2 linked regions of the Sus scrofa genome follow. The protein of the gene in region 1 binds, or shares a complex with, the protein of each later gene. Links are inferred from orthologs where the notes say so. Each region holds a gene or a part of one and is shown on either strand. Other genes may lie near its edges. The genes, in order: BICD2 and BICDL1.

The links.
Region 2: BICD2 (region 1) and BICDL1 share a complex: the UniProt entries of both Homo sapiens proteins name them as parts of the tripartite complex. The link is inferred for Sus scrofa from reciprocal best matches to the Homo sapiens genes BICD2 and BICDL1.

What each region holds. Positions count from the first base shown.
Region 1 is NC_010445.4:42,391,105-42,406,002, reverse strand, and holds the end of BICD2 (protein bicaudal D homolog 2), read left to right. Parts: intron 1-2,538; coding exon 2,539-2,691; intron 2,692-4,550; coding exon 4,551-4,985; intron 4,986-5,597; coding exon 5,598-6,605; intron 6,606-6,851; coding exon 6,852-7,003; intron 7,004-8,522; coding exon 8,523-8,832; 3' UTR 8,833-10,611; coding exon of another isoform or gene 10,612-10,617; 3' UTR 10,618-12,732; downstream 12,733-14,898. UniProt on the Homo sapiens protein: Acts as an adapter protein linking the dynein motor complex to various cargos and converts dynein from a non-processive to a highly processive motor in the presence of dynactin.
Region 2 is NC_010456.5:39,995,091-40,011,403, forward strand, and holds the start of BICDL1 (BICD family-like cargo adapter 1), read left to right. Parts: upstream 1-9,374; 5' UTR 9,375-9,474; coding exon 9,475-9,906; intron 9,907-16,313. UniProt on the Homo sapiens protein: Acts as an adapter protein linking the dynein motor complex to various cargos and converts dynein from a non-processive to a highly processive motor in the presence of dynactin.

The sequences.
Region 1 (14,898 bases):
TACGTCAGTCATTGTGTTAGTGAGGGCTCTGCAGAGAAGCAGACATAAGGTGTGTGTGTGTGTGCGCGCGCGCGCTCACAAAGAGAAGAGGGGCGGGCTTACTCAGTTGTCAGGGCTGGCAGGTACAAAATCTCTGGGTTGTGCCTGCTTACTGGAGACCCAGGAAAGAATTGATGTCACAGCTGGATTCTGAAGGCTGTCTTTTTTTTTTTTTTTTTTTTTTACTTCAGCTGTTTGGCTAAGGCCCCACCAAAAAAGATGATCTGCTTTACTCAAAAGGGTCTGCTAATTTAAATGTCAGCCTCATCTAAAAGATACTTGCGTGGCGACATCTAGACTGGCGTTTCACCAAAAACCAGGCTGCCGAGGTTTAGACAAGTTGACACTAAAATTAATCATCACAGTCATTCGGGTGGTAAACAAGGGAAATGGCCAGAGTCAAAATGTATGTAGAACTGTGTTGGGCATTTCCAACTGCCTCCCAGGTGAATGGAGGCAAGTAAGTATGTTTCCCCCACGTTGCCACTCACGCTGTGTTATTTTGTTTACTTGGCCCAGCGGTTTTAGTTTTGCTTTCTGAGTGGGCCGTGGATTTCTCCATTCGGTAACTTTGTGTCTGTTTTTTCTGATATCAGCTGTTCGGTCCCTTCTTGGGTCACTTATGAGGGGAGAATTTGGTAGTGAGCTTTGTCATGAGCACTTGATACAGGTAATACAATTACTCTCCCCCTTTCTGGTACTTTTTTTTCCTTTCTGTTCCTAGTTCATTTCACCCCCCTCTCCCCCCCGACATGCTGTTGTGTGTGTGTGTACTTCTATGGAATCTGGGCGTCTTGTCGACAAAACATGTGCGTGGATGTGATTCCCAGAAACCTCAGCACCAGCAGAGAGGCCAGTGTGCTGGGAGAGGAGGACACAGCTAGCTGTTAGGGTCAAGTGGGTGACAGTACTTCTAGCCCTGGGGCGGGGTGGGGTGGGGTGGAGGATGGCATTGGGCCTGGGGCATTAGATCTTTGCAGGTATGTGGAAGAGGCTGCTTGGAGCAATGGGAACAGGGATGTGGGAAGAGATGAAGAGTTTGTCTAGGGAGCAATTCTGCCTCCAGGGGACAGTGGCTATGTCTGGAGATAGTTTCAGTTGTCACAGCAGGGGAGGGGGCGCATCCAGCGGGCAGGGCTCAGGTTGCTGCTGCACACCCTACAATGTACAGGATGGCTCAGAAGGTCGGCCAAGGGACCCAGTCCCAGCACCTGACGCATAGTAGCAGCTGGTCTTGATTGCACAGTAAATGCAGGTCTGCGCTCACTTTTCTCCATGTGTGATACTTGAATCTTCAAGGCAACTTTTTTTTTTTAACAGCTTTATTGAGATAGTTCATATCCTTTCCACTTGCCCACTTAAAGTGGTTTTAGTATATTTATTGATTTATGCACTATCCCAAATTAATTTTATTTTTTATTTTTTTTAACTGTCGAATATACAAACATTTTATTAGCATTACAATGCTAATGAAGTATGAATCGCAGTTTACTCAGATAGGCAAGAAATGTAACTTTAAAAAAATTTTTTTAAAGTATAGTCGATTTACAGTGTTCTGTCCATTTCTGCTGTACAGCAAAGTGACCTGGTCATGTACACACACACAAATTCTTTTCCTCACTTATCTTCCATCCTGTTCTATATCCAATCATAAGTGATTGGATATAGTTCCCTGTGTTGTACTGCAGGACCTCATTGCTTATCCATTCTAAATATAATAGTTTACATTTGCTAACCCCATCCCACTCCCAAATCAATTTTGGAATAATTCATCACTCCAAAAAGAATCTCCATGAACAATCATTCTCCATCCCATTTTTCCCCTTCCCCCAGCAACCACTGATCTGCTTTCTATCTCTATGAATTTGCCTACTCTGGATGTTTTGTAAAAGTGGAATCATAATACATGATCACTGACACCTTTTCTTTTGATCATAATATTTTTTTCAAGCTTCATTCATGTTACAGCATTTGTCATTATAACTAAATAACATCCAGTTGTATAAATGTACCACATACTGTTTTTATATCACCAGCTGGTGGACACTTGGGTTGTTTCTACTTATGCCATTGTGGATAGCGTCTGGACATTTGTGCACAAGTTTTTGTGTGGACATGTGTTTTCGTTTCTCTGCGGTGCCTGCCCGGAAGGGACATTGCTGGGTCAGATGTTAACTCTATGCTGAATTGTCGAGTAGCTGCAGATTTTTGCCACAGCAGTGCACCACCGTACGTACTACCAGCAGCATGTGAGGAAAAAACTACTTTTGACCCCATTTCAAAGGTGAAGAAACCAAGGGTCAGAGGAGGCTGTGACCCTGCACTGCTCACCTCCATGCTCCCTGTCAGGTGGCCACATCGGACACTGGTGCAGGCCTGGTATTCCAAGTCCTGGCCATGTGGCCACCACGGTGGGCCTGGCTGCACTGAGCGCCCTCTACCCCAGGGCAGGGGAGACCAGCTAGGGCAGGCTACTCATACCTGCCTTCCTCTTGGCAGATCAACCAGAACGTGGAGATTCAGCGGGGCCGCCTTCGGGATGACATAAAGGAGTACAAGTTCCGGGAGGCCCGCCTGCTACAGGACTACTCGGAGTTGGAGGAGGAGAACATCAGCCTGCAAAAGCAGGTGTCTGTGCTCAGGCAGAACCAGGTGAGTGTTTGGGCCAGGTGGGTGGGCCAGGTGGGTTGGCTCTGGGCCGCAGCCCTGGCCTGACCCTCACTTGTCTGTCTCCATGTCAGAAGATGTTCCCTCCCTCCTCCCACACAATCCAGCCAAGGGCCACATGCCACTGCAGACCCGGTGTGTGGCAGCAGGGCCTAGCCCCTCCACAACCAGAAAAACAAGGTCTCTGGCTACATTCTTGGCTGGCAGTTGGCCTGGCCAAGATGTCCCAGCCAGCAAAAATGGGGGGGAATGGAAGTGATAAAGAGGTGACACCAAAGACCCCCAGAGGCTGGGTGTCCAGCTTTGTCACCTCTTGAGTGCCCATGGAGGCCACAGATGTCCCTGTGTCCTGTGGGACCCTAGAGCTGTCAGTGCACTCACTCCTCCCACTGTCTCAGGTTTGCCAGCCCCCTTTGTTGGTCCCTCATGTGGTCCTGGGTCTTGGGGTGAAGCCAGGTGGGCCTTGAGGAGCAGTGTGGAGATGCCCGTGTTGTCACCTCATGCCCTTGGATAACCCCAGCAACGAGACAAGTAGGATCACTTCCACCAGGGACAGGAGTAGGACAAGAAGGTCACATCTACCCACTTGTGACAGGATGGGGACAGAAGGATCACCCCCATCTGAGACAGGACAGGAGGGTCACCTCTGCCTGTGATAGGACACCCAGGTGGTTCTGGGCACTCAAGCCTCTCAAGGCCAGCCCCTGCCACCTACTTCTTCAAGAACCACAGCCCTACAAGGTGCAGACTTGGGGGACCTTTATCCCCGGAACCTCAAACATCAAGGACCTGGGTGTTTCAGTCCTGCGCGGGGAAGTGTGGGCCCGTGTGTTTATGCTGAGCAGAGCTTCTGTGCCTGTGACACCCAGCAGGGAGTGGATCTCCTCCCAGGAACATAGGCACAGGAGCTTTGCCTCTGGCCTCACAGCTGGCCCTCTGATGCTATGCTCATGTGCAGTCACACACAGGCCCTGGTGGCACGTGGTGGAGTCTGGCCCCTCCCTGGTGTTCCCCTGCCCCAGGCTTTGATCAACAGAGACCCTCTCAGTCCTGCCTCTAAGGGGTTTGCTTCATGTTTCTTGCACAGATATTATAGGATTATAAATTTGTTCAACATTGCCTATAGACCCTGATCCCCCACATCAAGCATCAGTTTCTATCTGCTCTTTCTTTGTCCACCTGCAAATATAGTTTCAGCAGGTGCAACTGTGGCTTCCGTCTGCCTCTTGCGTTCCTGAGTGGGCCTCTCCCAGGATGGGTTCTATGTGCAGCCAAGGCACATCCTACTTCAGTGGGAGCTTTAGTTCCTTCGTTTTGAAATATGATTAGTTGTGGTTGTAGTGCACATCTAGATACATATTTTATGTATCTTAATATATTTAATCAACTTTTAGTATTAATTAAGTAGTTTATAGAATTTAAAATCAGTATACACTTGGAGTTCTCTAGTGGTGCAGTGGATTAAGGATCTGGCATTTGTCACTGCAGCAATTCAAGTCACTGTTGTGGTGTGGGTTTGTTTGATCCTTGGCCTGGGGACTTGGGCGTGGCCAAAAATAGTGCTCTCACAGACTTGCAGAGATAAGAGCTTTGGTGTTAACAAAAGGGGGAAAAATCAGTGTACACTTGATAACATTTTAAGTCATCTAACAAGTTGACAGCGAGGGAAGTGTTCTCATTTCCACAGCATCTGTGGTGCTGAGCAGGTCCCATGCTTTTCCGCTGCTCACACATATGCACATGTGTCCCAGGCGTGGGCTGAACCTCCTCCCAGCTGTGCAGTCAGCACGCTGGTGCTTCTTCCTATCCCTTGTGCTTAGGAGAGGGTGGCCCTCTCTTCACAGGTGGAGTTCGAGGGCCTCAAGCATGAGATCAAGCGTCTGGAGGAAGAGACCGAATACCTCAACAGCCAGCTGGAGGATGCCATCCGGCTCAAGGAGATCTCCGAACGGCAGCTGGAGGAGACGCTGGAGACACTGAAGACAGAGCGGGAGCAGAAGAATAACCTGCGCAAGGAGCTGTCGCACTACATGAGCATCAACGACTCCCTGTACACCAGCCACCTGCACGTCTCCCTGGACGGCCTCAAGCTCAGTGATGATGCTGAGGCCCTGGCCAACGGCTTCGAGCATGGTGGCCTGGCCAAGCTGCCGCTGGACAACAAGACCTCCACGCCCACCAAGGACGGCCTTGTCCCGCCCTCCTCCAGCTTGGTTTCTGACCTCCTCAGCGAGCTCAACATCTCTGAGATCCAGAAGCTGAAGCAGCAGCTAATGCAGGTGAGTGGGTGGGTGGCGCCAGGATCCCACCCACCCAGGTCTCGTCAGAGCCCTGGGTACAAGTGTACCATCCCCACTGCCATCTGGTCCCCCATGGTGTGGCCAGACCTGCCTGCCGACCACTGGGACAGCACTTGCCTGATACTTTGTCAATGTTATGCACCTTCTTTTACTTATATTACTTTAAATTCTGCGTTATTAACTTTAAGTGGAACTGCAGCATTATGGGTGGAAGGTAATTAGGAGGTTTCTGGATACAAGATTGAAGTTTGGGTACCACCAGAGGTTTTCTGATGACCCTTTGAGGTGCCCAGGTATAGTTTCCTTTGCTGTGTCCTGTAGACATGTCACATCAGGTTTTCCCACCCCAGTTGACAGTTCCTAGGGTCTGTACCACAGCCCCTTGGTTCGCTGTGTGTCTCTGAGGAGGGGCTCAGCCCTGCAAGCATCTGGGCAGGAGGAAGAGGCATCATAGCCCAACATGTGACAACTCCACAGGCCAACAGGGTGATGGTTTTGGCATGGGTGGGGTCACTGCTGGGACCATCCAGAGATCCTCTGGGAGCAGGGACCCCTATGGGCTGTTGATGGGCCCTTTCTGTGCCTTTGCAGATGGAGCGGGAGAAGGTGGGCCTGCTGGCCACACTGCAGGACACACAGAAGCAGCTGGAGCAGGTGCGAGGGGCCCTGTCAGAGCAGCATGAGGAGGTGAGCCGCCTTACAGAGAACCTGAGTGCTCTGCGGCGCCTGCAGGCCACCAAGGAGCGGCGGACAGCCCTGGACAGCGAGAAGGAACGAGACAGCCATGAGGATGGCGACTACTATGAGGTTGACATCAATGGACCCGAGATCCTGGCCTGCAAGTACCGTGTGGCCCTGGCAGAGGCGGGTGAGCTCCGGGAGCAGCTGAAGGCCCTGCGTAGTACACATGAGGCCAGCGAGGCACAGTATGAAGAGGAGAAGGGCCGGCATGAGGCCGAGAGCCAGGCCCTCACCGAGAAGCTCTGCCTGTTGGAGAAGGCCAGCCGCCAGGACCACGAGCTCCTGGCCCGGCTGCAGACGGAGCTGAAGAAGATGAGTGACGTCGCAGGCGAGACGCAGGGCAGCCTGAGCGTGGCCCAGGATGAGCTGGTGACCTTCAGCGAGGAGCTGGCCAACCTCTACCACCATGTGTGCATGTGCAACAATGAGACACCCACCCGGGTGGTGCTGGACTACTACCGTGAGGGTCCAGCTGGTGCTGGCAGCTGCAGCCCTGAGGCCCGTGGGCGCCACTCACCTGTCCTACCCAAGGGGCCACCAGCCACAGAGGCTAAGGCCAGGGACAGCAGCCCCTCACCTGGCTCCTCACTGCCCTCACCCCTGAGTGACCCACGCCGGGAGCCCATGAACATCTACAACCTGATCGCCATCATCCGTGACCAGATCAGGCACCTGCAGGCAGCCGTGGATCGCACCACAGAGCTGTCGCGCCAGCGCCTGGCCTCGCAGGAGCTGGGCCCAGCTGCAGACAAGGACCGCGAGGCGCTCATGGAAGAGATCCTGAAGCTAAAGTCGCTGCTCAGCACCAAGCGGGAGCAGATCACCACACTGCGCACCGTGCTCAAGGCCAATAAGCAGGTGTGCATGGCGCTGGGGGTCCAGCACGTGGGCAGGTGGGAGGGTGATTCCTCACCTCCCTGGCTTCCCATCCCATTCCTGTCCTGCTACTGAAGGAAAACCTCCCCTCAGTGCTGTGTGGAGGGGCTGGTGCCTTGGAGGGCCCAGGGCTGGTCGGGGCCTCGGTCTGTGGCACCCACTGAGGCAGAGGCAGCAGACCCTTCTCACGCCTCTCACCTGCCTATTTGTTGCTTCTCTGACCTTTAGACAGCAGAGGTGGCCCTTGCCAACCTGAAGAGCAAGTATGAGAATGAGAAGGCCATGGTGACCGAGACCATGATGAAGCTGCGCAATGAGCTCAAGGCCCTCAAGGAAGATGCAGCCACCTTCTCCTCGCTGCGTGCCATGTTTGCCACCAGGTAACACTTACTGTTTTGTCCCTGCTCCGCAGCCCAGGAGCATGGCCCTGTGGGAAATTCCATTTCTGCTATTCGTGAAAAGCTAGGGCCCCAGTTTTGTCTCTACATGTACGATGAGAAAGTTGGAAACACAAAAGACTAAGCAGGCAAGTCCCTAGTGGCCAGGCTTGAGGCATGAGCTTTGATGGGAAACAGGCAAGTGGGCAAGTTACGTGAGCTGGGTTTGGGGCCAGTAACTGGCACATGAGGAGTTTGCCCCCCAGAGCTTGGTGGAAGTTTGTAGATTTAGAAGAAAGACTCCCCTCCTGGTAGTGGTGGGTTCCCACTGCTCCCCCTGACCCCACCAGTTGGAGTTTGCAGGGGAGGCAGGCAGTGTCTCTCTTTAGGCCAGTTCTGTGGCCAGGAAGCTTGGGGAGGTGCAGAGCTGGAGGCTGCTTTGGGGCCAGTCTTGGTAACTCCCTACTTGGAAGGGCATGGCGCCATCTGCTGGCCACTGTCAAGTGGGCACCAGGGGAGTGTCCCCTGGGTAGTCCTGGTGTGTCCTCAAGGGCTGGGAGGCTGAGGCTCTTATTTAAACAGGCTTGGAACTGAGTTCAAGGCCTTCCTGGCTTAGTGTCCAGGTGCTGGGCACTCCTTGCATTTCAGTGATGTGGGAGGAGAGGGGCAAAGAGGAAGAAACGTTCAGGCCTTTCTGGAAGCTTTCTCTCCTTGTGGGCAAAGTGGTAGGGTAAGGTCTTGGTTCCTCATACATAGTGTGTCCAGCCCTACTTCCTCAACTTGTTTCATTATTTACTTATTTATTTATTTTTCATTTATTAATTTGTTCCTTTTTTAATGGTTTTTATTTTTTCCATTATAATTGGCTTACAGTGTTCTGTCAGTTTCAACTTGTCTTATTTAAAGGCTTGACTTCTCAGATGGAGCTGAGATGGCAGACCTCTGGACAAGGGTTAAAACTTGCTAAATGGCCCTTGACCTTGGTGGGGAGGGGTGTGGGATGGGTGTGTCCACCACCCCTTCCACCCAGGCTCCACTCCTTCCCTCCCTCAGGGACAGACCCAGAAAAAGGCGTTTGTCTCCCAGCTCCTTACCCAGGTTGGGGGTACGTGGTACAGTTCAGCAGATGCCAAAGTGAGGTTGTTTATGGCATCCACATGTGCTTTTCCCAGGCTCTGATGGGCCGTTTGTCTCAGACTTACTAAGCACCTTGTTCTGAGAACAAGCCAAGTTCTGCCATTGTATTTATCCCCATATCCTGAGAGCCAGGTGACATCTCACTCCAGTCTCCTTCCCCTGTGCCACCTGGAGGCCTTGGAGGGCAGCCATCACCTCCTTTAGTGAAAACTGGCTTCCAAGAGCCCCCAAGAGAAAACTGAACCTTGGAGGGGCACTTCCTCTTCGCTTCCAGACCAATGAGCGGGTGAACCCCATTGAGATCCCCCACCCTCAGCATGGGGGCCATGGTCACATGCTTTGCTGGCTCTCCCAGGTCTCTCAGCTGTGCTATCACCTCCTACAGGTGTGATGAGTACATTACACAGTTGGATGAGATGCAGCGGCAATTGGCAGCCGCCGAGGACGAGAAGAAGACACTCAACTCTCTGCTGCGCATGGCCATCCAGCAAAAGCTGGCACTGACCCAGCGGCTAGAGCTGCTTGAGCTGGACCATGAGCAGACCCGGCGAGGCCGTGCCAAGGCCAACTCCAAGGCCAAGCCTGGCACCCCGAGCGTAAGTCACACCTGTGCCTGTGCAAGTGACAGGGCTGAGGGTGCTGGGCTTGCTGCCCAGGTGCTCTGCGGCGAGAAGTATAACATTTACTGCGATTAGGGCCATGAGGTCACACGCTGCAGCTAACCTGCCGCACGTCACCTCTCCGCTTCACCTCAACTAACCTGGCAGCAGCAGGACCGTGGTGCTAGGCTGGTCTTAACTGACTTATGCACAGGGGAAGAATTTGGCCTAGGCAGCCTGCTGCTCCATCTGGACACTGCAAGCTTTGTGTCTGTTTCTCACCCCTCGAGACCACCCTTCACAGCAGCTGCTCTCTTGGTGGTGGGCGGGGTGGTCAGGGGGGAGGGTTGGAGCCACATGTCCTTGCAAAAAACCTGGCTTACCAGGGCCCAGGTGCCATTGACTCTCACTGAGAGGGGCAGATCCTGCATTGAAACCTGCATGTTCCCCCGCATGTGTCTAATGCAGCTGTACTGCCCTGGCACCTCGACACCAGTGTTAGAGTTTCCATCCTGGATCCCAGATGCAGCCTTGGAGAACACTCTGTGCTTGGCACAGATAATGGAGAGAATTGCTTTTTAGTTTGTGCAGCATCTCGATGCAAGTCACATTTGAGACAGAATTACAGAATTTCTTCCCCCAGATTCAGAGAAAGAGCAGCCCTGAGCCCCACACCCTCTAGCTCAGGCACACACATGCGCTGGGTGGCAGTCATCGTGCTCACAAGGCACAGGTAACCGCACCCCGAGACCAGGGCTCAGCAGCCTCAGCTTCTCTTTCTAAGATCTGTACGCTTGTCTAGTGGCCTACAAGGTGACAAATAGGCAGGCCAGAGACCTGGGTTTTTTCAATGAGAAAAACTTCCTAGCCGCTGGCCAGACCTCTCTCATGGGAAGCCCATCCTCTTGTACTTAGGGTGTCCCTGGCCCTCAGCTGGGTTCTTTCACCCTCTGCCTATTATTAGGCCTTCCTCCCAGAAAGCGTTAGCCTGTAAGAAACAGGGATCTGAGGGCTCCCAGCCTGAGCTCGAGTTGCTAGTGGGTCAGGGCAAAACAAAGGGCTGGATCTCACAGGTGGAGCTGAAGCCCAGCCTGATGTGGGAAAGGAGCCTTGCGTGGGCCCAGGGCTGGTTCTGGGATTCATAGTCGGAGGAATATGGTTCTTGATAGTCTGTGCAGTTCCAGGGGTGGGGATAGGCAGGAAAGGCAGCCTTAGGATTGCCCCATTCTCAGAGGGGCACCCACACCAGAGCTTTAGCAGCAGAACTTCTCTCCATGTTTCTCTCCTTGTCATCCATGGGGGCACCAGCCATGAGGCTGCAGTCTCCCTGAATTGCTCCTTGCCTCCTCTCTCGGGCTTGGAGGGGGGTTTGCATTCCCTCTGATGCAGCTATCTGTCCCCATTCCACTCTTCCCCTTAGTTCCCCAGTGTCAGTCCCTTCCTACCAGACTCCAGGTGCTGCCCAGACCATCTTGGGTTTGGCCAATGGCTGGAGTGAAAATAGGCAGGATGGACCGCCTATGCCCTTCTGTAGGCCTGTCCCCTGCTCCATGCTGCTTTGCAGATGGGACATCAGGTCTTGGATTCCCCTCCCACTTGAGATGGTGTCAGGCCATCTCCCCTCCGCACGTACGACTTCCATGCTGGCCCTGCACACTGGCACACTGCTTTTGCCTCCTTGCCAAGCCTGACCTGCAGCTGCTTTCCATACTTGTCAAGGGTCTTCATGAGGCACTCAGGGCCGGCGGCCCCTCTAACACACGCAGGTCTTCTCTGCTGCCAACTAACACACTCTGGCCCTCACAGCTTGGTGAGAGCTTTAGTTGTCTGACGGGCGACCGATTCTAACACTGTCTTGTTTTCTCCCATTTTCAGCTGTAGAGTAGCTGCTGGGAGGACTCGGCCGCTGGCCCTGTCACATTGCAGCCCCCTCCCCTCCTCTCTCGTGGGCCCACACAGAGGAAGGAAGGGCAGCCTAAAAGTCCACTTAGAAACATTTTTGGAGATACCACTGCAGTTCTTTTCAAAATAGCATTCCCCGAGTTTTTAATGGCAGAGGAAAATAAAAGCTTTAATGTTGAGAATGCCGCCAGCTGCTGCTTGGAAAGGCCTTTGTACATGGGCTGAAGAACCTGCTTGGACAGCGACCACCAGGCTTGCTTAGGAACCCTCTAGGAACTCACCACTGGGGTATCCCTCTTACAGATACTCCTTTTTTATCCGATCAACCTGTGCACTTTTGATATTTTGATATTATATTTGCTTCCTTAATCCCTGACATAGAGATGGTCTCTGATGCCGTACTCTGTCTTGTGGTCCCGTAGTGCTCCAACTTAGCTCCCAACGGTGTGTTGATCTCACATCAGCACGTGGCACAGACGTGTCCTCCTAGCGTGTAGCTCCAGACTGTTTAGATGAAGGCTTCAGCCCAGCGAGGAGCCAGGCTAAGTGCATCCACGCTGTGGTTCAGCAGCCTTTTAGATTCCACGGCATTGTGGTTCATGTTTGAAATTACAGATTTTAAATGCCATGTTCATTAAGAAATCCAGGGTATTGCGATTCTGGGGTTTTTCATATTGTATTATTATTATTCTTAGGAATAGTTCAATGTAACAAGAAGAAAACTTGACCTTTGCTCTGGTTAAACAGTAAAAGGCACTTGAAAACAAAAAGGATAAATTATTGAATGAGTAGTATTACCTACAAATTCCAGAATTTTCTGGGTTTTAGGACATTGTGAAGCATGACTAACAGAATTTTATACAACTGTACCAGTGAAATTCCAAATTGGAATTGTTTTGTTACTCTGGTTGTTGTGCCAAATTGTGGTACACTTAGAAAATTCTACAGTCGTCGATTTTTAGGGTGTTCTATTTCAACACCTTTTTGTTAGTAATCATTGCCAGTAGTGCCTTCATCAGTTAAGGGAGGTGTCCCAGCATAGTTTATTCTCTAAAACAGACAGTGAAGAGCTAGTTGGGAAAGTTGAAGGCCAGTGTGGACCAATCGGTGTGAACAGGCACACACCTTCAAAGCTGAACCTGGGCATCTTCATTGAGGGAAAGAAAACAGCAATTGTGCAAAATTCTGTTAGTCAGTGATTCTTTACTGTGCAGATCCTTGCAAATTCAGGGGCTCAGAAAATGAAAGTGAATACAAACCTTGAGTGTGCTTTGGGAACCAAATGGACTTTATGGGACAAGCTGAACAAGCTGAACACCACACACCATGTTTGTGAAGAGGGGGGCAAGTGGCAGGGGAGCCGGCACTGCCGGCCTCATGCAGTGGGATGAGGGCTAGCCATAGTATTCTTTGCAAATGTGAGAAAGAGACTTCCTGTATCCTCTTGCTCGGTGTAACTAATCACTGTTAATTTCAGGAAACAGAACTCTCTAAAGCTCCTTAGCAAACCAGGTCTACGTCCCATCCTGATTTGCTGAGTGAGGTTGTGCGAATGGTCAAATTGGTACTCTCGGAGGAAGAAGAAAAAGTGTCCTCCCTCCTCTAAAATGCAGGACAAATTATAATAATATAAGTAGCAAAAATAAAAGATTCTGTTTCCTGGAATAGCATTTCTTATTCCTAGTTGTAAGGACCCCTATTTTTACCTTATCTTACAGTGTTGATTCATAAGGAATAATGTTACATTTACGAAAACTTCATCTGTATGGGGTATTTATTTGCAATGACGTCTGAGTACTGTATTTTTTTCTGTGCATTACCTTAGTGTCAGAATGTTGTCTTTATTTTAAGATCATATGCATGTCCTCCTGCCAAGGAACCTTTACACAGACCCAAACAAACAAAAATGCCTTCAGATTCTGAAAAAATGAGGCACAGCATGGAAAAAGGATTAGAAAGAAGAAATCAGGCACAACTTGGGACACAGACATATGGTGCAAATGTCTATAAAAGCCAGTGCACATAGGAATGGTGGGCCTGGGTAAAGGGTCATGTTGGTAGGACCGGTAAATAAAGAATAATAAAAAGACAAAGCACAAGACTTGTTCTCTGTGGCTGCCCTGACCCCCTGCTCCAGATAACTGTGGGTCCAGCAACACACTGTAATTCCAGCCTGTCATTAACCCTGGTGGTGGGAACTAGAAGCAACCTGGGGGGGGCCGTCTTAGTGGTGGGGGGTGGAAGGGCGGGTGGGGGTAGGGGGAGGCAAAGGGCAGGTAGGGGGTGCCTCCTGTGGTGGGCGGACCAGCAGCGTGGCAGTGAGAGCACATTGCCTCCACCCTTCCCTGACCAGGAAGCAAAGAGATTTGGATAACGTGGGATCCTTTGCTGTCTGAACCCAGGAATGAATGGATGCAGGCAGCAGGGATGACTTGTTTGTTGACACAAAACCATCTGCAAGAATGTGTTAAAGCACAATGAGCCCGGCCCAGTGATTGCTTGTGTGGTCATTGGAGACAGATCCTGTCTGAGGGAACAGGAAGTCTCAGGGACACTGCCACCCGCCGTCAGGTCAGAGTGATTTCAAGGACATTGCCACCCGCCAGTCAGGTCGGAGTCATTTCACCCAAATCTCAGGGCTTCCCTCAGGGAAGCTGTCTGAGGTCAAGGTCCTTCTGCCCTGTTATCTCCTCAGGACTCCTCCCTCCACCTAGAGTCTCCCCTGCCTCAGAGTCAGTGAGAGGCCCCTCTCTCTGACAGTCCTCCACCCATCCCATTCTAGTAGTGTGGATCCATGTTCAGTTTGAGACTTAGGTTCAAGAGACTTGTTTTTCCTAGTAGCTAACAGGAATCTTCTTTCCCTACTGGCCTGTCACCACAACAGCCCCCTGGACCATGTTGATAAGAGAGCATGCAACAGATCTGGAAGAGACCCCCTCCCAAGAGGAGGGGGCATGGGCAGTGGGCTGGGCAGGACAGGTGCCTTTTCAGGTGGGGATGCCTGCCCTTGCCACCCTCTGTGTGTGTAGTGCACTGTAGCCACTGCCCAGTCCTGCCTGTGGAGGTGTTTGGTTTGCACAGGCACAGACACCGAGGCCTTCCCTATCCTTCACCGTGCTTTGTGTCCTTGCAAATGTGCTCCATTTCACAGGTGGAGTGGCAGCCTCTCAAGTGGGTAGGATCCTGGGAAGCTGGGAGCCTGTGAGAGGGGGCACTTGGCACTAAAAAGCCTTTCACTCAGTCTTCCTTTCCAGGAGGGAATGTTCCCATTCCCCCCACCTCTTGCATCGCTCTTCAGTGGTTTTTTCCCCCCACCTCGGCAGGTTACCAGAGTTGGAAACAGACAGTCTCTGGCACCAGCTAGGAGACAGGCCTTTGGCCGAATCGTCCCCTCGTAGCTGACTTACCTTGCCTGACCTAACCTCTCTGAGCCTCAGTTTGCCTCCCCTGGTTTGGAGGTGATAGTTCTTTGCTCCAAGGTTCTACTAAAGCTTCACCAAGCCCTAGATAGCCAGCATGCATAAGGCACTAAACAGATGACTGTTGCTAATGTCATTCTTGCTGGCAGTGTCATCGCCAAGGTCTGGGATGCCATGGAACTGGCCTTTGTCCTGTGATGAGTGTGGTTTGTTGTTTTTTGTTGTTTTTTGTGGGGTTTTTTGTTTTTTTTTTTTTTTTTTTTTTTTTTTTTTTGTCTTTTTGCCATTTCTTGGGCTGCTCCGGTGGCATATGGAGCCACCTAGGGGTCGAATCACAGCTGTAGCCACTGGCCTACGCCAGAGCCACAGCAACTCGGGATCCAAGCCGCGTCTGCACCTACACCACAGCTCACAGCAATGCCGCATCCTCAACCTACTGAGCAAGTCCAGGGATCGAACCCGCAATCTCATGGTTCCTAGTCAGATTCGTTAACCACTGAGCCACGTCGGGAACTCCTGATAAGTGTGGTTTTAAGTCAACTTTTTACGAAAATAAAATCTGCGTTCAGGGAAGTGCATAATTCTCATATACAGTCCACTTCTGTACACACTGAACACAGTTGTGTGACCGGAAGCCCTGCCTCTCAGGAGTGCTTTTTGGAGCACATTAATGAGATGCCTTTGCCTGCCATGTCAAGGTGTTGGACTGCCTCCTGCCTGTGGGAGCCTCCTGGGAAAACAGATATGCCTACGTTCTAGCATTACCTGGCATGGTGTTTTAGCAGGTATGGGATGCCATCAGGTTCACCTCTGTGCCCAACTTTCAGTTGTGTCCAAACAG
Region 2 (16,313 bases), on another chromosome or scaffold:
ATACCTTAACAACTCACTCTTATAATTGTTATACTGATTACATGCTTGTCTTATTTCCCTGTATAGGCCAGATGTACTTGGTCACAGCTAAATCAAAGGGCCTGATTGTGTGATTCTCTTTTTCTGGCTTTCTTGTTTCTGGCAGTAGCACCATCATTCTGTTGCCCAGGTTAGTAACCTCAGAGGCATCTCTTTTTCCTCACTCCCACTCCCTAATCTCAATCAGTCTCCAAAGCCTAGGAATTCTTTTTTCTCAACCTCTCTGACATCTTGTCTCCATTTCCATCATCCCTTCCAGTAGCATCATAACCACTCTCCCTGATTCTCAACTCCCACCTTGAGCTCATCCTTAACACCAGTGCCAGGTGAATCTTCCTGAACTACAGCCTTATTCAGATCACTTCATGATTTTTTTTTTCCACTTCATGATTTTAAAATCTCCAATGGCTCCCCATGGTCTTTGACTTGGTGTTCAAGGCTAGATAGGTGAAAAGATCACAGGTTTTATAAGCAATCTGATCTCTGTTCAAACACTAACTGTGCCCTTTACTAATTGCAGGATTTGGCGCAAGTCCCTGACACATTCAGAACCTCAGTTTCCACATCTCCAAAATGGGTATAATAATACCTACCTGGAAAGATTATTGTCAAGTTTAAGCAAGATAATGTAAGCCAGTCCTTTGTCTGCCCATAGTAGGTATTCAATAAGTGGCATCTCTCCTTCTTCGGCAAGTCAATGCCACCCTATCTTTATTCTCCCTCCTTGGCTGTTCTCCAAACACAGCTTACCAACCCCTGTCTTTGTAGAAGCTGTTCTACTTGCCTTCCATCTTCCATAGGGAATCCTCTATGTCCTTTTAAGGATCAAAGTCATGAAGTGTTCTTTGATCAGTTTTTGTCAAATATTGTCAGTGTCATGCCAAGGGGGGAGGTGAGCGTGTGTCGCCACTGAAATTGTTTAGAATTGCCAGCTCATAGCAATAATAAAAAGCACACAGACTTTTAGTTTTATGCTACTGTATCTAATACCTCCTTTCTCTGAATTCCAAAAAAAACATATAGTATAATTTATAAGATATTTAATCTACTGTTTAATATAATTCAATATTGGTTATAATTATAGTTATTTCTATTCATGTTTTCATCCTTTATTAAATTATAAACTTTTTGAGGGAAATTAGTGTAACATAGTCATTTTTGTTCCCCCTACATAATATCTGACACCACAGCTTCTATGCAGTAACTGTTCTAGATAAATGAAGAGGTTAATACCAACCATACAGACCAAGTTAATATGTAACATGTTTGGCATTCTGAGATCAAGGTCGTTGGTTTTTTTTAACATCTTATTTAGTGAGCCCCTACTGTGTGCTAGGCAATATGCTAAGTGTTTTATATACATCAGTCATTATAAAAATGTATCAAGTTCCTACTTTGTTGTAGGCACTGTGCTGGGCCTTAAGAACAATGGGGGTTTGATCCCTGGCCTTGCTCAGTGGGTTAAGGATCCAGCATTTTCGTGAGCTGTGGTGTAGGTCGTAAATGATGCTCAGATCTGGAGTTGCTGTGGCTGTGGTGTAGGCCAGCAGCTGTAGCTCAGATTTGACCCCTAGCCTGGGAACCTCCATACGCTGCAGGTGCAGCCCTAAAAAGACCAAAAAAAAAATCGTATTTCTCCCAGTCACTGTCAAGTATAAATTAAATTACTATTAACTGCTGCATTATTCCAACTATCTATCTTTCCAGAACATTTAACATGCCCACAAACACACCCCAGACACAAACATAACTACATTCTGCAGAACATAAAATTAAACCTTGACTTCAGACAGTGATGGTTCCTCTTATCACAGCAAGACACCAAGAAGTCCATATAGGTTTTTTACTAAGAGCAAGAAGGGTAGCAGTAAGCAATGATAACAAACTATGAAAAATAAGCAAAAGGCGTTTTACTTATCTACTAGCAGAAGTTTTTAGCTGTCCTGGCCACTGGATGACATACTGATTCTCTAATCAGTTTATTCTGAAACTGACAAAGAAAAATAAAGACAACATGGGGGGGGGATTCATTTAAGAAACAGTGTTAGTATGAGCAGTATCAGCGGGTATAAATAACTTGCCTGCCAACAGATTAAACCAGAATGTGATGCAGAAAGAACAAGACACAATAAATGTTTGGCAGATTCTTGAAGTGAAAAAGAACTAGGAAATATCTAAAAGTAGCTTTGGATGAATGATATATGTGTAAAACACATCAGTAGTGTGTTGAGGGCCAAGATCATTGAAAAGAAGCAGGAGTTTCCGCTGTGGCGCCGCGGGTTAAGGACCCAGTATTATTGCAGCTGTGGCTTGGATTTGAAAAAGAAGCAGCAGGTAAATGTGAACACAGAAAATTAAATCACAAATCCTTCTAGATGCGGGCATTGGAAGAACCAAAGACAGCCACAAAGCAGTTGTTTCCTGATGAATTTGAGCAATGGAGACCCCTAAGTCACTAGAAGAAGGAGAAGGAAAGTATGGAGTAATATAGTCAATGTTGGTAGCAGTTCAGTCCAAAACAGAGGAGTTTTGTTGTTTGTTTATTTGTTTGCCTAAGTGGTATGGGTCTATTATGGGCTGGCTTCCAGATGTGAATTCCTAAGAGGACCCCTGGGCTCATGTCACAACCTCTCTTGTGTATCACACATTTATACCTTAGGCAACAAATCCCATTGTCAGATTGTAGAGGCCTGCTGTTTTAGATCAGGGTTTCTCAACCTCGGTGCTATTGGCACTTCAAGACAGATAATTCCTATTGTGGGAGGCTGTGCTGTGCACTGCAGAGTGTTTAGCACCATCTCTGGCCTCCACCCAGTAGGTGCCCATAGCAACCCCCATTCCCAGCTGTGAAAACCAAAAATGTCTCCAGATATGGCCCCATGTCCCCAGGAGGCAAAATCACTCCATTTTGAGAACCACTGGTTTAGAAGATGAAGAGATGATCTTCCAACCCAGATGCGGAAACCAAAGCCCACACACCCTGACTGCCTTGCTCAAATGTACACAGCTGGTTAATGATGGATTTAATCCAGCAACCAGAACATCACTCTCAATATCTCCACTCTACACCAACTTTAGTCAGCTAAATGCCACCATCATGATTTTGCTATACCCAATGTCACTTATTATTTTTCTAGTTGACTCATTTTTTAACCTTATAAATTCGTCTTTAAGAAGAAAAGGGGAACTATACTCAATACTTTGTGATAACCTTTAATGGAAGTGAATCTGTGATCTGAGACTCACTTTGCTATAAACCAGAAACTAACATAGTATTGTAAATCAATTATACTTCAAAAAAAGTAGTGGGGGGAACAGGCATATAAAGGAAAAGAAGTCAGATATAAATGATGTGATATATTGCGGTGTCAGAAGGAGAAAGCTGTGCTCGCTTATTTTATGTATTTATTTATCAAGCACCCACACTGTCCTCACCATGTGCCAGGTACCATTTTAAGTACTGCACATATATGAAATCTTTTTATCTTAATAACAACCTAAGGGAAAAAGGGAAAGGGAGTGTGGGTTCAGGTTGAGGGCCAGGAGAGGACCTTGGAGGGTGAGGGGAGAGGTGTGAAGGGACTGCTAAGGGGAGAACCTAGAGATGGGAGGGCTGAGAATGAAGTCACTACTGAGTATCTGTCACTGAAGTTAATGTTTTTCCCTTAAAAATCAAGTTGAGAGTCACTAGAGGTACATTTGCAAAATGTTGAGTCAGTTCATCTCCAAAAAACATAAAAAGCTTTTGGGTAACATTTTAGGAATTTTTGAGACTTTTATGTTCTCATGACTAGTTCATAAATAAAATTTAAAACTTTAAAAAAATGCATACATGCTTAAAATTGCGGAATGAAAATAGCAAATGTAGAACTACTTTATCACATGTTTTGCCAGCTCCTCATGTTTCTTCCACACCTGACTTCAAAAACAAATTTTCTGGAGGATATTTTGTCTTTTACACTTTCTAGTTTTTGCAGATCAAGATGCTAATAAACTTGAGGAAATTTGATGAGTCTTATCATATTTGGAAATATCAGAATCTCTAAGGAAGAAAATTTCATGCTTTACCCTTAGTGATGTGACCGCAATCTACGGCATGTTAGGATGGGTCATATCCAAGTTTACCAGAATATCCAGGTACCAAAAGCAACACTGATGCAGATACATTATAGAGGAATATGAAAATGATTTTTTAAAAAAGGTGAGGCTGAGTAACTAAGAGCAAGTGCTTTAGAGTCAGACAGCATCATAGCATCATGTAGTACTATGTAGTGGTGTTCTATACTAGCATTATAGGGTTATTGTGGGGATTAAATGAGATGTCATGTAAAGGACTTAAGGAATTATTAAATGATGAATATATCAGTTACCATTATTCTAGTATGAAGCAGAATAAATGAAATAATAAGCTTCTTAGATGTCTGAGCTTCTTTTCATATCTTTGCTTGGATGGGTTTTGCATCCCATCATCAACTTCCATGTGGGGAGGTACTTGTTCATTCTTCTTAGCTTAAGGTTGACCTAATGGTCTCAAATAAATGATTTTCAAAGTGTGGTTCATTAACTCCTGAGGTCCCGAAGACCTTTACAGAGGGTCAGAGAAGTAAGCACTATTTTTGTAAGAGTTGCAATGATAATGATTCTAATTTTATTAATAACAGTAAAACTAATTTCATAATCTCATGGTAGTAGACAATACCAACTGTCTACTACTCTTTTTGTTTTTCAATGTTATTGACATTGGCATTGGTTGTGCAAAGGAAGTATTAGGGTAGCCTACCTTAGCATGATTCATGGCAGTGGTACCCAAGCATACTGGTAGACACATTATTCTTTACCATTATGTGCTCACAGGATGAAGAAGAAAATTATTTTCATTAAAGAATGTGCTTGCTGAAGCAGTCCTTTTTTTTTTCTTTTTTTTTTTCTTTTTAGGGCCATACGTGTGGCATATGGAAGTTCCCAGGCTAGGGGTTGAATTGGAGCTACAGCTGCCAGCACACACCATAGCCACAGCAACTCGGGATCTAAGCCATGTCTGTTATCTACACCACAGCTCACAGCAAAGCCAGATCATTTAACCCACTGAGTGAGGCCAGGGATTGAACCCTCATCCTCATGGATACTATTTGGATTCGTTTCCTCTGCCCCACAACTGGAACTCCTGAATATTAAATCCCAATACTTGAGTACACATCTTTTTCATATTCCATGTGATGAAACAGAAGTACCCATAAAGCACTTCTGCATCATACCTGAGTGCGTTGTTGTCTTGAGATTAAGCCCTTGTACCATCATTTGAGTTAGGAGTTGAACTAGTCACATTTTTCATGGAATACTGCTTTTATGTGAATGAATGATAGACACTATGGTATTCAGATTTGGGCACTTAGTAGACATTTTCTCAAAAATGAATGTACCAAGTCTGTCACTTCAAGAAAAACCATAGATGCTATGGTTACCAATGATAAAACTGAAACCTTGCAGCAGAAATAAGAATTTTGGAAAACTCATACCCACATCAGTGAGCTTGATAGCTTACCAATACTTCAAGACTATTCTGATGAGATCGGTTGTAATGTTAATGAATGGTATTTTTAAATATATAGTATAGGTGAATATGATAATAGAATATGTATATTCTTTCAGATTTTTTCCCACTATAGGCTATTAAAAAATATTGAGCATGTTTCCCTGTGCTGTACAGTAGGTCTTTATACTATTTATATTTTATATATAGTGGTGTGTATTTTTTTAATACCAAACTCATAATTTATCTCTCCTCTCCTTGCTCATTTTTTTGATTTGAGAATATATAGTTATTTTTCATTAAATACATTATGTTAACATATAACAGGTTTATTATACGTATTCAAAATAAATATTAAGAAATTTTCCATTTCAGTTTTTTGATACAGTAAATATCTAAACCCCTATAAAGTTTTTTGAGATCTTCAACAAGTATTAAGACTGTAAAGGAGTTCCCATCCTGGTGCAACAGAAAAGAATCCAACTAGGAACCATGAGGTTGTGGGTTCGATCCCTGGCCTCATTCATTGGGTTAAGGATTTGCTGTTGCGGTGAGCTGTGGTGTATGTTCACAGACACCATTCGATCTGGTATTGCTGTGGCTGTGGCTCTGGCGTAGGCCGGCAGCTACAGCTCTGACTGGACCCCTGACCTGAGAACTTCCATATGCCACAGGTGCGGCCCTAAAAAAAATAAATAGTACTTCAAGGAGTTCCCTGGTGGCCTGTTGATTAGGGATTTGGCATTGTCATTGCTTTGGCTGGGGTTCAGTCCCTGGCCTGGAAACTACCCACATGCTTCCAGGGTGGCCAAAAAAAAAAAAAAAAAGTAGTCCTCCAAGCTTAAGCTGGTCTCCTTTGACTTCCTTTCACAGGAGGATAGTACTTAGGGCCAAAGCTGTAGTAGCAAATGATCACTTCTTGGTCAGGTTAGGCAGGAGACCATTGTGAGGAAGGACTTTCAGAAATTAGAGTTGCACTTTAATATGAACTTTTGTTCATTCTTATAGTAACAGGCAAGTCTAATAGAGTGGGACCATTGAGTTTAGGGTAAGACATAGACTTCTGGGGAAAGATAGGCTGCAAGTCTGTATCAAGGAAAAATAAATAGCTGAAACTGCTTTTGATTAGGAATTCTGTTTGCTTTTGATATGTGTGTCCCTAATCTATTTTTAAGAGTAAATTATTGGAGTTCCCATTGTGGCTTAGCGGAAATGAACCCGACTATTATCCATGAGGATGTGGGTTCAATCCCCAGCCTTGCTCAGTGGTTCAGGTATCCGGCATTGCTGTGAGCTGTGAGGCAGGTTGCAGATGTGGCTTGGATCCCAGGTTGCTGTGGCTGTGATGCAGGCCGGCAGCTATAGCTCTGATTACTAGCCTGGGAACTTCCATATGCTGCAGCTGTGGCCCTAAAAAAGAAAGAAAAAGACAAAAGGAGGCGTTCCCGTCGTGGCTTAGTAGTTAGCGAATCCGACTAGGAACCATGGGGTTGCGGGTTCGGTCCCTGGCCTTGCTCAGTGGGTTAAGGATCTGGCGTTGCCATGAGCTGTGATGTAGGTCGCAGACTCGGCTTGGATCCTGCGTTGCTGTGGCCCTGGCGAGGGCCGGCGGCTACAGCTCCGATTAGACCCCTAGCCTGGGAGCCTCCATATGCCGAGGGAGTGGCCCTAGAAAAAAGGCAAAAAGACAAAAGGAATTTGCAGCTGGATCTCACCATGGGCCCACAATTTCTGCTCAAAACGGCATAATAAAATAATGTTAGAACAGTGCATTGTTGGAATAGTACCATGGTCAAACTTTCAAAATTAGCTCTATAATTGATGTAGGAACCCCTCTGTTGTCTATCTCCTTTTCAATCAAAAGAGAACAAAGTTAGCCCTGAGGCTCAGAACCCTTTTGGGATTCTCACCTTCAATCTGAGGGTAGAAAATGATGTATACACCTGAGTATCATTTAGGTCCTGAGTTTAACAAGGAGAAAAAGCCAGGAGAAACTATTTGACTAATTTCAGCCACTGGTGTCCTGAAATTTCCATCTCACTGTGATGAAATAAAGTATGATCTAACTCAGAAATGGGTCATTGTCCAATAGGAAAGGGAAAGAATAGGGACCAATTCTAGCTTCAGATGGGATTGTTTCTGAAAATAGGAAACAAACATCACCAATGAGGTCAAAGCAAAAGCTGACTGGAATCACCCAGCAGGATCTTCAGTTCTTGGTTTGGTCATTGCAGAAAGCTTTCCAGATAGCACTGTGGAATTAGACCCAGGCCATTTTGGTCACAAACTACCATTTACCTTTCTCAAGACTTAGGTGGGAGGAAAGTAAAGAATATTACCGTGAACCCTGGAATCAGCCTGCCTGGATCTGATCCTGTATCTCTCATGGCCTCAATTTCCTTGCCTGTAAAATGGGATGAGTGATCGTACTGACTTTATAAAGTTCTTGAGAGAATTACTTAAGATAGGGCATATAAATAACTCAAGACACGGTACATACTAAGTGCTTAATAAAACATAAGTTACGATCAAGGAGTCTTTCCTTTGTATTCCTATCTGTGAGCAGGTTTTCTGTCACTTCTCAACAGGACCCCTTCCTTTCGGGCTGCTGATCTTCAAGGTATCTGGTCCCTTATATCCCTGAGTCATCATCATTAAGATGCTGGGTTTCTGAAGTCATCCCTCTTACTGCTCTCTAGGGCTCCCTCTCTTGACTGCTTAGCTCTCGCGGGGGCTCAGGCCCGGAATCCGTGACCGCGAGTCTGTGTCGGGCTTAGCCAGTCGGGGAACTGTCGCTACTCCCCTTGGAGACCACCTAAGACTGAGAGATCCATCAGACACAGAGAAACGCCTCAGTCGAGAAGCCGGCGTGAGGCCAAGGGCGGCGCGGTGCCCCGAAGTGAGAACAAGGCTGGGGGCGGGGCAGTGCTCGGAGGTGCGCGTGAGGCCACACCTCGAGGTGAGCGTGCTGGGGGGCGGAGCCACACCCGGAGGTGGACGCGAGGCCGGGGGCGTGGCCGCGCCGGGGGGCGGTGCGGGGGGGCCCGGACCGTTAGGGATGAGCCACTCGTCGCCACAGGCGGCGCGCGCAGCCGCTCCTGGGCGCGAGGCAGCGCAGGGGTTAAGGCCGCGGTCGCCACCTGAGCGCCGCTGAGGAGACCCACGAACTGGCGAATCGCGCGCAGGCGCGGTGAACAGGTGCCCGCGCGCGTCAGGCGCCAGCAAGGGGCGGGGAGAGGGGGCGCGGCCGGAAGCCCGGGGCAGGGTGCGGCCCGCGGGGTGATAGCTAGGAGCCTAGGAAGGCAGGAAGGAGCTCGCCCGGCTGCGCCGCGCGCGATGTGGAGCCGCCGCCTCGGCGCCTGCAGCAGCCGCTGTCGCCGCCGCTGCTGCTGCTGGGGCTGCTGCCGAGCCGCGGGACATGGAGCGCGGCTGCAGAAAGCGGCCGCCGGCAGCAGCAGCAGCGAGCGTCGCAGCGACAGCGGAGCGCAGCCCTCCCCGTGAGGCGCTGCCTGGCCGGCGGCGGCAGCGGCAGCAGCAGCAGCAGCAGCAGCAACAGGGAGGCTGAAAACCCGGCAGCGGCGGCGGCGTTCCTCTTCGCAGTCTCTCTTCCCGCTCCGCATCCCCTAAGTCTTTCCTTCCTCGGCCTTGCCTTTGCCACCCCCACCTCTTACCCAGCTCGCGCTGAGCAGCTGAGCCCGGGGGCGGGGGGAGGGCGCGCGTGCCGCCGGCGCGGGGGAGGGGCGGGCCGGCGCGCGCCGCGCCCAGGGCTCGCGGGGACCCGGGGGGCGCGTGCTGCGGCGCGAGGCGAGGAGCTGGGCTCGGGGCGGCGCGGCGGGGCCCCTCCCCCCTGCAGCCTGGCGCGCGCCGGCCGGGCCGCACCGCTGCGGGCTCCGCACGCGCGGGCCATGTCCGCCTTTTGCCTGGGCTTGGCTGGCCGCACTTCAGCACCCGCTGAGCCGGACAGCGCCTGCTGCATGGAGCTGCCCGCCGCGGCCCCGGACGCTGTCGGGAGTCCCGCCGCCGCCGCCGCCCTCATCTCCTTCCCCGGGGGCCCTGGGGACCTGGAACTGGCTTTAGAGGAGGAGCTGGCGCTGCTGGCGGCCGGGGAACGGCCGTCCGACCCCGGGGAGCATCCTCAGGCCGAGTCCGGGCCTCCGACCGAAGGGGCCGAACTGCAGCCGCCGCCCGCCCAGGATCCCGAACTGCTGTCAGTGATCCGGCAGAAGGAAAAGGATTTAGTGTTGGCTGCCCGACTGGGCAAAGCGCTGCTCGAGAGGAACCAGGACATGAGCCGGCAGTACGAGCAGATGCACAAGGAGCTGACAGATAAGCTGGAGGTGAGGACGTCCCTTCTGGGATGGGTGGGAGGTGGGGGGAGGGGGAGCCCAGGCACCCCCCCGCTGGCCCTGGGTAGCCTCAGGAGTCACTCAGTCACTCGCCCCGCCCCACCCCTTCGTTGCTCATCCTGCCTCATAGAAAACCACCTGGAAGGGGGTTAGAATCGAGGGTTTTGGATTATCAGACTAGGGGATTGATCGAACTCACCTGACTTCGCAACCTGCTCCCAGCAAATAGGTCCACTCACTGCTCCAAACGCTGTGGGCCGTTCTATATAAGTAATGTACACAGCGTCTAAAATAGAGCTTACAGTATGACTAATTCATACAACACTGAGGTGATGTCTGCACAAAGAGAAATTAGAAAGTCGGGAAGCATTTAAAATATGCTCCAGGTTTTCAGAGAAGTAGGTAATCGCTAATCAGGGTGTTAGCCTAAAGCTTTCCAGCTTTGGCGTTAAGGCCTCCAGATGCCCTTGTCTCAACTTCCCGGCTGCTCAGAGTTGTGGGAAACAAGTGCCCCTAAAGGAGCTTTATATAGCCTTCAAATACTCGGGGATTAGGAAATAAGGTTCCATTGCAGAAATCAGGCGAGTCTGATTGGGCTCAACATGTGACGGTTGCGTGTTTGATTTGGGCCTCAGTGTTTGTATTTAAATGATACTTTTCTGTTTCTGTTCTGGGTCTCACGTGTAATTGGATGGCCACATGCATCCTATGGGAACCATCTAACTTTATTGTTGTAAATATCCCTTAAATTATGTATAAGATTTCTGCCAGTCCTCTGGACCAAAGTCTTTTGCAGCTATGCCCTTTTTTTCTTGCCCTTAACTAGAAAAGGGCAATGAAAGTGGTACAGATGGCCACCATTTCTAAAAATTAGAGATTTAAAAAAAAAAAAGTGAGAGTGGGGGTGGTGCATCTTTGGCACTGGGGATGAGTTTATCTTTTTCTGCCTGTGCATTTCCTATTGTTACTCAGTTTAGCTGCAACCAGTTCTTTTTATTCTTAGTTACAAGAGAGCACAGCCCCGAGTAAGGGGTCTGAAAATGATCGTAGTGGAGTTCCATATCACTGCTACTGTCCAATATTCAGAATGTAGATTCAGAAACTTTTCTATAATAAGTGTATCTGTAGTCCAGCGACATATCAGAAGTAAATAAGGAAGGAAAAAAGGGAAACCAATGAGTGCCCTGTAGTTCAGTTAGCCTGTTAACTAGGTCTGCCAGTCGATGAACTCCTGAGATACTTCTTTGAAAAGTGGTTTGTGAAACCTATAGGTAGACTGCCAAAAAGCAACCCAATGAATTGAATTGTTTAATTTTTACTTGAAGTAAAGGTCTGGAAATAAAAGGGTGTCTTTTATTTTTTAAAGGATTCAGTTACAGACTCTATATAGAAGTATTGTTGCAGAGATTTATGCTTGTGATTTGTTTGAAATTTCTTCAGTGAGGGACCTGATTAAAGAGACAGCTAACTTGAACATCATACCAATCAGTGTGATTCCTGATTTCAGGGAAATTCTGAGTGTGTGGTTACACACATCCTGGGTTCCATTTGGAACCTGTGTACTAATGTCTTCAACAAAGGAAAAAGATTTCAAATTCTGTAGCAAGAAGGGTTCTATTGTAAAAGAAGAAACTACATTTGACTTTTTGCTTTTGACTTGATAAACACGATAAAATAGTTTAAAACTCTGAACTATTTTTTAAAAACTTCACTCCTTTCAGGTCAGCGTATGAACTCTAGTGTTAAAATTATTTTTAATTTCTGGAGGTTGGTCGCACAACACTGTGAATTTAATTAACACTGAACCAACAGTGCAGTTAAAAATGGTTAAGATGGTAAATTTTGTGTTATGTATACCTTACCACAATTTTTAAAATAATGTTTTTTAAGTTTATTTTTAAAAAGTAAAATATGGGGAGTTCCCGTCGTGGCTCAGTAGTTAACAAACCTGACTGGTGACCATGAGGTTACAGGTTTGATCCCTGGCCTTGCCCAGTAGTTAAGGATCCGGCGTTGGGGTGAGCTATGGTGTAGGTCACAGACACAGCTGGGATCCTGCATTGCTGTGGCTATGGTGTAGGCTGGCAGCTACATCTTCGTTTCAACCCCTATCCTGGGAACCACCATATGCTGCAGGTGCAGCCCTAAAAAGACAAAAAAAAGTAAAATATTGATCATTAATCAATATTAATAAGTTATAAGGGGGTTCAGTTATACTACTACTTCTAGGTATGTAAAAATTATTAAAAATTGTTAGTTTTTAAAAAGGTATATTAAAAATATCAAAATATTGTCATTAATTCCTGGTTAATTCTTTTAGTATTCATATGAGAGTGACAACTCTGATTAACAGGGAACTATTTCATTTGATACTTGGAAGTGAAATTTTTCCTTGCAAATTATACCTGCAAGTAAATTTTTTTTCCTTTTTTTGGTCTTTTTGTCTTTCTAGGGCCGCACCTGTGGCATATGGAGGTTCCCAGGCTAGGGGTCTAATTGGAGCTGTAGCTGCCAGCCTATGCCACAGCTACAGCAACACCAGATCTGAGCCTCGTCTGCGACCTACACCACAACTCATGGGCAACGCCAGATCCTTAACCCACTGAGCGAGGCCAGGGATCGAACACGCAAACTCATGGTTCCTAGTTGGATTCGTTTCTGCTCCGCCACGACAGGAACTCAAGTAAATTTTTTTAAGCAGCCTAGATTTTAGAATGTCTGGTTGGACAAATTCTAAGGTTTAACATAGCCAGTGTGCTAGCGTTTCAAATAAATTCAGTATTTAGGAGTAGAGAGCCATTCCTTATTTTAAAAATCATGCATAGTTTTCTACAGACTATCAGACAGTGGAGTCAAACATTTTCTCATGGGTTAGTTTGAAAGATAAACACATGAATGGACCAGAGAATGCTGGTTTGACTATTAAACAATGAGCCTGGTTATGTTTTAGTCCCATCTGCTTCCTTACAACTTTAGAATTGACCCCTTTCTAACTTCAAGACCAACAAGTCATTTTCAAGATCTTTTCTCCCTATTTTTTTGTTAATATTGACTACCTCTCCAGTTCTGTGCCTCAAACTCAAGGTTTTGTTTCTTCATTTAAGACAGAAAGTACTTGATCTTACACTACTTTCTCACTAAAGGTATGCTCTTTTTAAAGTTTTTATTGGTTTAAAGATTAACATAGAAGTTTTTTTTGTTTTTTTGTTTGTTTTTTGTCTTTTTGCCTTTACTTGAGCCACTCCCACAGCATATGAAGGTTCCCAGGCTAGGGGTCGAATCAGAGCTGTAGCCAGTGCAGGATCCGAGCCGAGTCTTCGACCCACACCACAGCTCACGGCAATGCCAGATCCTTAACCCACTGAGCAAGGCCAGGGATCGAAAACGCAACCTCATGGTTCCTTGTCAGATTCATTAACCACTGCGCCACAACAGGAACTCCTAACATAGAAGTTTTGTTATGCTTCTCTTAGGGTTAAAATGAATCTTCATTTTAACTTGAGAGACTGTGAGGTTTTTATTATTTTTTCCACCCTTAAATTGACTATACTGTATTTCATGCCCTGAACTAGATTTTCATATGCTCAAGTATCTGAAAGCATTTTTAAAAATTTATTTCTTCTGCATCTACAATTAGCCATTTTGCTTTTAAAACATTCAGCCATACCCTTAGATATTTTCCCCCAAGAATATGAACTAAGACAATAACTTGCATTTATACACTTTTTTCATCAGAGATTGTTTATCTAGTTTTTTAAAATATATTTTTAATATGCAGGCTCCCCTTTCTCCCTGTTCTGAGTGAATTATCTCTTACTTCAGAGGTAGTCTTTTCCCTCAATTGCATTTTCTTCCCCCTTCTCTAGGCCAATTCTGAGGATTCTATCACTATTTTTTTTAAGAGGCAGAACAAATAAGGTGAAAATGATTACCTAATTGGCTAGTAGACTTAGGTAAGCAAATACAGGGATCCTTATTTGCATTCAGTGCTTGGTCCACATACAAATATTTTTTCTTTGTGTATTTCAAGAACCTTAGCCTTGATTTAGAGAATAGTATTGCTTTTTCGGTTCTTTGCAGAAATCCATTTCTGTAGCAGCCAATTTTAGGTGGGCTAATGATACTTATGTTTTTTCAAAAATCTTGAACTTTTTAAGAATTGTTTTAGATTTTTTAAATTTACAGAAAAATTGGAAAGATAGTACAGAGTTTCCATATACCCTACCCCCAGTTTCTCTGTTATTAACATCTTACATTTAGCATGGTATACTTGTCATAATTAGCGAACCAATAGTGCTAAGTTATTATTAGCTAATGTCCTTAGTTTATTCAGATTTTCTTAGCCTTTATCTAATGTCTTTTTCTGTTCCAGGATATCGCATTACATTTAGCTTCTGTATCTTCTTAGTCTGCTCTTTGCTGTAGCAGTTTCTTAGACTTTCCTTGTTTTTGATGACCTTGATAGTTTTTGTGTGTATGTGTTCTTTTTTAAAAAAAAAAAAAATTTAGTTGATTTACAGACCTTGATAGTTTGGGCATTAACTTTTTTTATTGAGGTATAACTGACATTGTATTAGTTTCAGGTGTAGATATTAACTTTAAAATAACATATAACCCCGAGAAACAAATAGCATGGGCAGAGGCTGACCTCCACACCTGCTGATGTTCTACCTAGAGTTTACTGGTTAATTTAGCACTTAATCGAAAATAAAATTCCAGTAGAAACTTAACTTTTTTCAGAGTAGACAAAAGGCTAAATTCATTATTTAGTATTTTCATTAACAGGTAAGTGTTGATTTTTTTTCCCCCCAGGGTGTGAGGAGACCTGAATTAGGAAGTTTGTCACACGCTCAAAGAAATTTAAGAACAGAATAGACTGATCAGCACCACCTGTCCTCAACCCTGCACCCCCCCCACCACCACCACCCCGGCCCCGCAAGTGGATTGGATTGTTTTAGTTGCTTGGTTGAGCTGTTCACTAACAGCTGTTTGCTGAATATTTTTAAGTCTCTCTGTTCTTTTAGAACACAAGCCTAATTTATCTGGCCTCTCACTAACACTGTGATTACTGAGTTCTTGCTGTTGCCTTCTGCTCAGTCTTTTCCATTTTGGAAAAACTCAATAAAACCAAGTATCACAATTTTAGGATTGCAATTAGCACTTGCTTCTGTATATCATCTTTCTGAAGTTTGTACAGTGATTAAAACATTCTCATTTTTGGAAGTTTACAAAATGAGGGCAGCATAGAGCAGGAAATTCTCTTGCTAAGGAGTTCAAGTCCCTCTTTTGTCAATCCTTTTCCCATGTGCTCCAAACTGAGGCCATATAAAGTTAACTATAATGTGACTCTCAACAAACACACCAGAGTGGCTATATCCAATTTTTTTTTTGTCCTTTTAGGGCTGAACCCATGGCACATGAAAGTTCAGGCTAGGGGTTGAATCAGAGCTGTAGCTGCTGGCCTATGCCACAGCAACGTCAAAACATTAACCCACTGAGTGAGGCCAGGGATTGAACCCGAGTCCTCATGGATACTAGTCGGGTTCATTACCGCTGAACCACGGGAACTCTTATATCCAAATTTGTTATTCCCTTGAAGTGGTCAACTTTGGAGAAACATGCGTTTATTTCATTGAGAACTGCCTTTGCTAGTGTGCTCAGAATTTTAATTGTTCTGACTGCTCCATCATGGTAAATTTTCATCTTTTGGGGGTAAATTAGACTCTCAGAAACATTCACAAGTCACTCAGAGCAAATCAGGGGAAATGGAATAATCTCTTTTTAGATCTATCTCATATGTGAAGTAATGGAACTGATTTTCTTGTAAATGTATGCGGGCCCTTAAGGCTTTCCAAAAGAGGAATTCCAAGAAAATTTGTAAGGTTAGAACTTGGATAGAATAAGAACATAGGTTTGCAAGTGAAAAAATGTCTGAGTACTCAGAAGAAGATACAAATGTTCATGTTAGCATGTTGAAACAATTTCAGTGCTTGGTGTCAACCTTCATTGCCTTAAAAATTCCTGTAGAGCTTAGAAAGATAGATCCATCCCTAGGCCAATCTTTGGAAGTGATGTTCAGGTGGATATATAACATTTTCTGATAGCACCAAAAGTTTAGGACTGTTGCTTTACATTTCAGTACTCCCTGAGGTATAGACTTGGCTTTTTTGTATGTTTGTATACATATTTGTATAATATACTTCGTAAGGAAGAGAACATACTTGTTTCTGAAAAGAGGCATTCTTATATCACAGAAACAGAAAGATGTTCTTCCTTCAATCCAAATGATTATTTTCTGAACTGCTACTTCAAACCTTGTGTACTTTTCCTGCATACCATTTGTCATAATGTACAATTTATTACTTTTATCACCCTCTCCCTATAGAATGGAAACTCCA